2 linked regions of the Caenorhabditis elegans genome follow. The protein of the gene in region 1 purifies or fractionates together with the protein of each later gene. This does not show direct contact. Each region holds a gene or a part of one and is shown on either strand. Other genes may lie near its edges.

The links.
Region 2: the proteins of EGAP2.1 (region 1) and Y57A10A.31 fractionate together in Caenorhabditis elegans (co-fractionation; one large-scale study listed by BioGRID). This does not show direct contact.

The regions. Positions count from the first base shown.
Region 1 is NC_003280.10:5,229,026-5,234,293, reverse strand, and holds EGAP2.1 (DDE_Tnp_ISL3 domain-containing protein), read right to left. Parts: upstream 2,884-5,268; 5' UTR 2,863-2,883; coding exon 2,527-2,862; intron 2,332-2,526; coding exon 2,204-2,331; intron 1,901-2,203; coding exon 1,701-1,900; intron 1,546-1,700; coding exon 1,395-1,545; intron 1,344-1,394; coding exon 1,133-1,343; 3' UTR 1,019-1,132; downstream 1-1,018. Other genes in the region: pho-1 (Intestinal acid phosphatase), read left to right, coding at 234-406, 474-761, 810-873, 951-991; EGAP2.2 (Ribosome biogenesis GTPase RsgA), read right to left, coding at 3,990-4,082, 4,243-4,251.
Region 2 is NC_003280.10:12,287,199-12,292,384, reverse strand, and holds the start of Y57A10A.31 (RING-type domain-containing protein), read right to left. Parts: upstream 3,001-5,186; 5' UTR 2,981-3,000; coding exon 2,881-2,980; intron 2,181-2,880; coding exon 2,035-2,180; intron 1,025-2,034; coding exon 803-1,024; intron 403-802; coding exon 1-402.

The DNA of each region.
Region 1 (5,268 bases):
AAAACGTATTTGTTGTGTGCTCGGCAGTAGTATCTCATTTCTTGACTAATTTTTTATTATCAAAAAAAAATCAAACTTTGAAAAGTTGGACATAAAATGACTGAAACTTTGACGGGAAGTTAGGTCAAATGCTGGTCAAAAATGGGCGCCGAGAAAACTTCAAATTTCCCCATCCTCTGAGCGACTCAATTAATTGAGAAAACAACTCATAAAAGTGTAATTTTATTTTTCAGCTGTTCCAAACATTGTCAACGGACATGATGTAGGAGTGTTAACTCGAAAGGTCAGAGGTGGACCAATTTTGAATGATATGGTTATGCATATAAATCTCAAATTGATGTGCCAGGGTCAGACAACTCCAAATTGCACATGGATTAATAATTTGAAGAATTACATTTACTCTGCTGTAAGTTAATTTTACCATAAAACAATGGTTCTAAATATTTTTAAAATGTTGAAAAAATATTTTCCAGCACGACACCACAATCTACGCCTTCTTCTCCGCACTTCTAATTGAAGAATACGCTGTAAAACCGTCTGGTGGATATCCATTGTATTCTGCTGCAGTCCTTTTAGAGCTTTACATTGATAGTGTCGACAAGAAACCATACTTCAAAATGGTATATCACGAGCAAGACGGAAGTGGATTCAAAGATGTGACTATGGGAATTCAAGGATGTCCTCAAAATAGTTCATACTGTGATTTAGATATTCTCAGAAACTTTGCCAATACTATCAAGCCAGATCAACCAATCGATCAGGTATTGTTTTTTTTTTGTTTTTGAATTTAATCATGTTAACTTTTCCAGTGGTGCTTAACCGATTTGAACAAGAGTTCCAGCTTTGCTACAGTCTCAATGCTCTTTATTGCAGGTAAACTTTACCTAAAAGCTCACTTTTTCTATTAGAAAAGAATCAAAGTATAATTCTAATTTTTAATTTAATTACAGCAATTCTTGCCATCAACAACAACTTCCTAGGACTGTTTTAATTGTTTTGTTCTTAAATTTGTAAATTATTAGCATTAAATTGTAATTTATTCGCTTCGTTCCAGTGAGATAAATACACGTAAGATCGTACATGGTTATACATAACCATTTCAAAAATAAATTCCCCCCGTAATAAAATTAAATTATGATGTCGTGTATGTCCTGAGCTCCTCCACACATTTTTCGAGCATTCGCTTTCCTTCGGTTTTTCTCACCACTTGATCATTGAACCAACTTTGGAATGCTTGCTCAGAATTGAGTGCACTTTCCGGATGATTTTTGCGAAGATTTGTGAAGAACATATCACTTGGGTTTGAATAGACTTTTGACTCGTCGAAGAATGTTGCGCTTTGACTGAAAAAAAGAAGAAAATTTAAAGAATAGAAATTTAAAGATGTTACCAACCTTGCATAAGCGGTGAAATTTTCATTAACAGTCTTGATCATTGAAACTGATGAATGTGAATTGACTTTTTCCATTTTAACTTTTTCAATTGTACTTGGCATCTCATCAGACATCACAACAGCGAAACAGTTGTTGGAGTTTGCTTCTTGACCTGAAACAATTGTTACAGTTTTAATGTATACGAGCAAGAACAACATGCCTACCAACGTGCCTACAAAGAGTTCTTAAATGAAAGGCAACGTACTCAACCAAGGCTGTGACGAAAGAGTAGGGGATCTTTGAGATGTTTTAAAAACTCATACTCACCTGCCAAAATGGTGTACATGAAGTCGTTTGCCTTTTTTGGCTCAATTCGAATCACTTCTATGTACACCATTCCCTGATTTTGTCCAATTCTGGGATACTTTGATGCGATTTTATCTGTCAGATCATAGACAACTTTCCGAGTTTCATTCACTGTATGCGTTGATAATTTGAGCTCATTGGCCATGTGACTTGTGGAACAGCTGAAAAATTAATTGAACTTTTTGATACCAAGATACGTGTTGAAACTTTTTAAATATTTTTTCAATTAAATTGTTAAAAATTATTCAAGCTTTCAACTACAATGTTTTCAAAGTTGAGTTTTATTCAAAATTTAATTATAATCTAACTTTATTCAACATTGTTTTTATTGACTTTGAATTTTCGCGAAATGAGAAAAAAAACCACCAACTAATCAACAAGGCACATGTCCTACTATTCTGATTGGTCAGAGTTTTATTTCTCACTTTTGCACAAATATAAAATAAAAACCAGCTTTAACTTACTTTTTACAGTGCATGATCAAAAAACTGAAAATAGTTTTGAAGGATAACTTGGTATACTCGAACCAACTTCCAAATTTTATTGAGCAAGACGAGCAGTCCCCTCTCTTATCCTTTGTTCGGCAGCGCCACTGAAAAAAAGAACAACAATTAGAAATTAAAATCTTCACTAGAGGCTCAAAAATGCATGCCTACAAGGCATTTTGCGCTGCCTACTCTACATTTCTTCTAGGCGTAGGTGACAATCAAGACAAGTTAAGTCTGCTTTTTAGACACGTAGGTAAAGCTGACTGATCAATTTTAAATATAGTATAAAAATCTCCAACCTCATAGCAATTCTTTCTCCTTCTCAAATGCATCATTCGATCACACTTTCTGCACTGTTGCCGTTTTTTGAGCAAACCTCTCTGCATCATAGTAGTCACGATTTTTGGATAATTATCAAACTTTTCCACGAGATCATCAATAATCTCATTTGTAGTCGGTGGCCGTTCGTCATCATCCTCCTCTGCCATTGCAGATAAAGATGCTGGTTTGGGAAAGTGAACAGTCTCAAAATGGGGTTCCTGCTCAATTCCTGCATAGAGATCTGCATTCAGTTGGGAGAGCGCATAATGAAGTGGCTGCGAGAAATCAAACTCCTCAAGTCCGTCGGATTCCATGACGAATACTGAAATTTGGAAGTTGATTAGAAAATTAACATTAAATCGACGAGTATATAAATATATCTGAATCGATATTTGTAAGAAAAACGAGGGAAAGGGTTGGTATGAATGAAGAGATGGGGGGGGGGGTGTAGATAGAGAGAAGAGGAAAAGAATGTTAGAGAAAGAGTAGGAAGAGACAGGGGGGGGGCAAGGGGGGTGACACCCCCCTCTCCTTTTCTCTTTTCTTTTACACTATTGATCCAAAACGAGAGTATTATATGTAGTTTGCTGTTCTCGAGAGTCCATCAAATTTTGAGAATCAAACTGGTTTCTAGGTTACTGTACCTATATATAAATAAATTGAATTTGTTTTTGAAACATTGTGTTTGTGGATTCTCAAATTTGTAAACCTCTTGTAAATAAAACCGTTCAGGTTTCAATAGAAGGCAGAAATTTCTTCGTGCCCATTTTATGCCTTCCAAATTTTTACCGTGATCTCCGTATACTTGGGGTTTCCACAGTAGTCGTTTTTTGCAATAAACTTATAAATATTTGAGGATTTATTTAATATAATAGAAGAACGTATCTCAGACGACACGTATGTCGCCTCGCAGGCAGGTAGACAAGATTTTCAGTGGGAAAAAAATGAACATTTATAACCGATTTGCTGGAAATATATTTATTTTACAAGGAAAATGCACTAAAAAACATATCAGAATCTTAATCATATGCAATTTTAAACGAGTTTAGGTTTTCAAGGTTAAAAATTCACAGGGAGGGTTTAATCATAAAAACTGGGACAAAATGAAAAGGGATGCAGTGGAATAAAATAAGCGAGAAGTGATGGAGGAGTGATATGTGATATAGAAGTATCATAGACTAGAATGTCGTTTCTTCGAGCTACAAGCTACACTATCAAAAAAAAATTTGATTGTGTGTGCCACCTCATTGCACATAAATAATTTGAAGAGGTGCTGAATCATCATCCGAGTAGTAGGGATCGTCACGATTCCACCAGTATACAGAAGTCTCGTCAGTGATCGCGCTCTCCTCGTCGGAAACTTCTTCCTCATCAGAATCATTCTCCTTTGCTGGCTCGGCATCCTTAAATTATAAAATTTTCGCATGCACGCACAACAAATTTATTGTAAAGATAGCTGCGGCTCGATAGCTGCGGCTTCAGCAAGCTCCAAACGATCTTGCTCAGCATTTGCTCTTCTTTTCGCGTTGTGAGCCTGAAAGACCATTTTATTTTATAAACATCAGAAGAGCGTTTAAATTTATTAATCTTGAAAAATATATCTAACTGTTACATGACTCCAAAATAAAATGAATTATAAAATTTGTGCATGAACGTGCTGCACATTTATTGCAAACTTTAAGTTTTCACTGTACCTGCTTCATCTGTTAGGTTCTTCCACCAGTTCCTCTGCTTTGCATTTTTTCTTTGTCTGCGCAGTAATGAATATTTATATCGATACTAACAAAATTCTAACAATTCATGTAACAGGGGAGCGATACAAAAAGACAAAACAAAAAGGATAAAGTGAAAAGGTCAAAAATGAAGAAAACTTCGGCTCTTATTCTAGCTGGAATAGGGCGGGGCCTGATGGGGCGGTGACGACGGGTTATCAAAATGAGATTGCGCGCGAGTACGCGGTAGGTCAAAACAAAAAAGAACGAGCGAAAACTTATAAGTCCAGACAGAGTTCTCGATGGAAAATGTGCTGTGCGGTACCTTCTGATTGGCTTCGGCTTTGTATACGACGAGCGAAGGTGTATGTCCTGAGACGTTTAAGTCTGATCAATCGTGGAGCACATCATCCGAGTACTCTGCCTTTAATAAACTATTTAGGGTGTAGTCAGTTCTTGGTTGGGACACTGAAAAGATTAAGGGATTTTTTTCTGTGTGCAGTGTAAAGATTTCCTAAACAACAGGAGCAGAAGATTGAGAAAATGTTCGTTTTTAAAAGAATCTCGTAGAAGCGAGTAAGATGGTGTCCAGATAGTTTTTAAAAAGTATAATATAACAAAAAACCTCACGTTGCTCAACATTTTTCTTGATAGTAACTTTTCTGTAAAACTATGTTTATAGAATCCGATGTAATGCCAATTTATTTGCAGAACAACAAGAAGTTTCATCCGATCAGTTATTAGGTCGTTCAATATTCTGCAAAGTTCACTCAAAAACTTCAATTTTTTTACTGACTCATCCTTCCCGCATTGCCAGATGTTTTAGTTTTGTGTTCATATGTAATAATGACCAAAATCTTGGAATCCTGCCAGTTTGTCACCATAAAACACATTCCATTATGTGACGTCTTCTCGGCGCCTTTGGTGAAAATCGAAAAAATTAGTAAGGTCCTATGGACGTTCGTTCTGAGAGACATCTGGTATTCAATCCCCATTGTTTCGTACATT
Region 2 (5,186 bases), 7.1 Mb from region 1:
AGCCAAATCATTTCTCTTGAGATTCTTCTGTATCCAAAGCTTCTCTGATTGCTCCAACTTTCGATCGAAACGTAGCGGACATCTCAAAAGTCTCTCGTAGAACACACGAGCCGAGCATTTCGTGAATTCCGTGTACTTTTCGTCGAAAACCAGCGCAAACTGCGACTCGGATGACTTTTGAATGAGCGTCGGCATTTCTTCACCGTGTCGGAATCGAATCGCGTAGCCACTGTTCGGCGCGGCGAGTAGAATCGGTGGAGACGGAGCAGCGGCGGAGCCCAGCTTTCGGCGGATGATGTTCTTTGTGTATTCTGGGTCGCCATCCGAGTCGATGAGTAGGTAGGCGGTAGGCGTGTTGTTGAAGGTGAGGTATTCGCAGCGACGCTTGTTGAAATTGATATTCTGGAAGGAAGGAGGGAATTGTTGAATTTATTGGGAATTTTTTTAAATTTTGAAATGACTTTTTTCTTTAAAATTCAAGAAAAATAAGGAAAACCCATGAAATTTTGAATTTTGGCAGAATTTCCTGTTTTTTGTGATTTTTTTAAAAATTTTTTAGTAAAACTCTCCAAAAACCCTTCAATTTCTGTTTTTTTTTTTGAAACTTTTAGCGAAAATTTTGAATTTTCTCTAATAAAAGTTAGTGGACCACATTTTTTAAAATTAATTTCTGCGATTTTCATCGATTTTTTGAACTTTCTGAAAAATTTTCTGCATTTTTTCCCAAACAAAATTTTTAATTTCTGATTTTTTTAAACCAATTTTTTTTAAAAATAGATTTTTTCCGATTTTCCCAACAAACCTCTCTGTGAATCCGTCGAATATCTTGTGGTCCGAGTGGCCAAACGACACAAAATTTAAGCCAAAAACGAGTTTTCATGTTAGCGGCCCGGCCGACAAGCTCTCTGGTGGTTTGCTCGAACGCGGCGACGTCGATTTGTGCGGTGGAGCACGATGGATTGGTGCTTACGGTAGTTGACACGAGGGAACGTCCACAGAGAGCCTGGCTTGTGTCTTGGGACTCCTGGAAAAAAACAAAAAATTGATTTTTTTTTTGAGAAAATTTGAGAAATAAATTCGCATTATCTTCACTTTTTTTCTCATTTTCAGTGTAATGGACAATTAAAATTTGCTACTAAAAATTACTCTTTAGACCCTATTTATGCTCCTAATACCGAAAATCAATGCGAAAAAAATCAAAAAAATTTCCCTGATTTTATATTAATTTTTAAAAATCCGAAGATCCATTGGTTTGTTAAATTCAAACGACAATTTTTGCCTGATAACCGTGCCGCAGGTGTGGATTTACGAGATTAATATTTTTAATTCATTTTTATTTAATTTTCATACCAATTTTCCAGATTTTTCTCGTTTTTTTTTTTTCGTTGTTTTACATTGAAATTCTTGTGACTTTTTATTTATGAAAACAAGTAAAATTACATGAAACAATCGACCTTCTGCTGGAGATAGAATATTTCATGTAATTTTAATTGTTTTAATTAATAAAAAATTATAAATTAATGGAAATCACAAGAATTTCAATGTAAAACTAGGAAAAAAACGAGAAAAATCGGGAAAATCGGTGTGAAAATTAAATAAAAATGAATTAAAAATATTAATCTCGTAAATCCACACAACTGCGGCACGGTTATCAAGCAAAAATTGTCGTTTTAATTTAACAAACCAATGGATTTTCGGATTTTTAAAAATTAATTAAAAATCTGGGAATTTTTTTTGAATTTTTTCACATCGATATTAGGTATCAGCAGTATAAATACGGTGAATAGAAAAATTTTCGTCCGAAAAAAAAAATGAAAAATAGCTTCTGATAATTTATAATTTATAATTATTTAGAAAATCGTTTTAAAAATTATGGAAATCAATTTTTTTCGTAAATTTCAGGAAAAAACTCTTAAAACGGCATTTTTTCCGGAAAAATCCTAATTTTTCCATATTTTTTTTTCAAATTAACTGCAATTTTTCAGGGGGAAAACAGGATTTTTTTTCAAATTTTTCAACAAAAAAAAACCCTACATTTTGATAATATGGTACGGTAACATTCTTCACAACACTTGGCCATTCTACTGCATAACGGAGCTCTCTGGATGTTGTGACCGGCAGATAGTCACGTTTTTGCTGGCGATTCTCAAAATGTGCACGAGCGATGTCCTCTTTTGACGCTGAAAATTATAGATTTTCAAATAAATTTTGGAATTTTTCCAATTTTTTTTGTGGAAAAAACCTCAGGTTTTTAGCGTTTTTGGGTGAAAAATTGTTTTTTTAAATTTTAAAATTTTTCAAGTCAAAATTCACGATTTTCTGAATTTCTGAAATTTTCAATTCGAAAAATTGTCTGAAAATAATAAGAAAAAGTGGAATTTTTCTCGAAAAAAAATCTAAAATTTCAGTTTTTCCAATTTTTTTGTTGAAAAAATCTCAGGTTCCCACCGTTTTTGAGTCAAAAATTTATCTTTTTGATTTTTTCCAAATTTTTTTAGCAAAAAAAACATTCTTAATCGATTTTCGTCGTTTTTCCAATTATTTTTATTAAAAAATCACCGGGTTTTCAGCATTTTTTTATAGAAAATTTGACATTTTTAGTGAAAAATCGTCAAAAACCATTTTAGAAAAAAACAACGATTTTTTTTAATGCCTAATTTCGTTAAAAAATTTTTTTAAGTTCGAACAAACTGAAATTTTTCGATTTTTTCAATATTTTGAGAAAAATTTTTGAATTTTCTATCCAAAAAAAAGGGTTATTTTCCAATAATTACTGAATTTCTCCGATTTTTATCCTAATTTTTCTCGTATTTTCCGGAATTTTCATAGAAAAACGCTGAAAAATTCTGGTTTTTCTAAAAAAAATTGCAAACTACTAACGCGGCTCATCGTCCCACGGATCTCTTGAATCGACGACAAACGCGAGTTGTGTCAATGGTATGATCTTCTCACTGCGGCGCTGTTTTTTGCCTTTAGCCATGATGGTTTTTGTGTTGTAATCTGGAAGATGAAGGGAATTTTTAATGTAATAGGCGAGTGATTTGAGTAATTGTAAGAGAGAGAGTGAAAGGGAGAATTTGAAAAAAATCGGAAAAAAACCAGTGGAAATTCAGCGAAATTTTCTTGGATTTTTTGAAAAAAAAAGTCAGAATAATTGCAATTTTGGGGACAATTATTGTAAAAACTCGCAAAAAATTATTTGTTTTTTGAAATATTATTGCTTATTTGGACTCAAAATTGTCTAAAAACACTGAACAATTTTTGAATTCTCCTATTTATTTTGGTAGCCTGAAAAGCCTATTTTTTTAAAAAATATGGTGTAGTCGAAATTAAAATTGTCTCCGAATTTTATAATGAAACCTCTTGCAAACTTCTCAAAAAAAAGTTATGGCGGCTCAAAAAATGACCTAAAATTAGTTAAAATTTGAAATTTGACTTGTCAGCGGCTGGAAACAATTTTTTTGAAATAACCGTCAAATTTTAAGTATACACATTATCTTGCGTTTTCAACTAGATTTAGGTACATTTAAGGCAATTTTACCAAATCTGGTAATTCATCGACCTTAAATTTACCTAAATCTAGTTGAAAACGCAAGATAATTAATTTTATGCCAAAAATTATACGGTAATTTCAAAAAAAAAAGTAAGTTTCCAGCCGCTGACAAGTCAAATTTCAAATTTTAACTAATTTCAGGCCATTTTTTGAGCCGTCATAATTTTTTTTTTGAGAAGTTTTCAAGAGGTTTCATAATAAAATTCGGAGACAATTTTAATTTCGACTACACCATCTTTTGAAAAAATTAGGCTTTTCAGGCTCACTAAATTAGGAGAATTCAAAAATTGTGTACTTGGAAAAATTTGAAAAACGAGACCTCTATGTAACGAAAACTGACGGAAAAGGTGAAAGAAAGGGAGGGTGAGGGTGGCAATGCGAGACACGAAAAGGTTGCAAATTCTATGAAAATATGTAGAAAAACGGGAAAAATTCAAAAAGACAGTTTTAAGTGTTTCCGTCTTGTAAAAAATCCCTCTAAACATTTCCGGCAAATCGGCAATTTGCCTAATTGCCGAACGGAAATTGTCGCCCATCCCTGGTACATGGCGCAGGGACCTAATTGATTGATATCGATAATAAGATTAATTTTATCTTATTGTTAAATTTGTTTTAACAGTATAGAGTACTAATTTACACCGAGTTACGGGAAAATCATCTCAAAATATGTAAATGTGTTGAAAATTCCGAACATTTTCCGTAGAAAAGCGAAGAAGATTGCATTATGATTCACAATTCGTGTAATCATTAAAACCAACGATCTACCGAACTAACATTCGCCATACAAATGGAATATTGTATACCTGGCAAGAAAATGGAAATTTAACAAGTTACAGAACACATTTGTCGGGAATTCGAGAATCTAACTTCTATAATCGCAGGGCTTTTGGAATGATAATTTCGTATATCAACTCAATAGCGATGTACATAGAAGAAAGTTCAATTTCAACGGTTTACGATTTTTCCGTTGAAAATATACCGATTTATGCTTTTTTCCGTAGAAAAAAACCGATAATTTTAACATCACTCATGCACATCGTGCGTCGTGGAATAATAAAATCGAACGATGAATCCAGCCAACACACGATCAATAAAGCCATTTGGGACGTCCATCGTCACACCTTTCACAATGGTTGAGGCACATTGATGATGTGGCAGTTAACCATGGGAAAATGGCAGGGTACCAAGTATATGTACAATGTCGGGAAATCATATGAAAATTGCATTCAAATGATTTAGAAGAACGTATAAGATCAGTGACTTAGGTATGTTTCCAGTAGAAAATTAACCCGTTTAGGAATTTTTTAGAAGAAAATTCATCGATTTAGGTATTTTTCCGTAGAAAATTAACCCGTTTAGACATTTTTTTTAGTAGAAAATTCACCGGATTTGGTATTTTTTCCGTAGAAAATTTACTCGTTTAGGTATTTTTTCACTAGAAAATTCACCGGTTCAGATTTTTTTTTTCCGTAGAAAATTAATCGATTGATGCATTTTTCCGTAGAAAAATCACCGGTTTCGGTATTTTTCCGCAGAAATTTCAGCGGTTTACGATATTTTTCCGTAGAAAATGCATCGGTTTAGATATTTTTTCATAGAAAAATCACCGGTTGGTTTCGGTATTTTTTCCGTA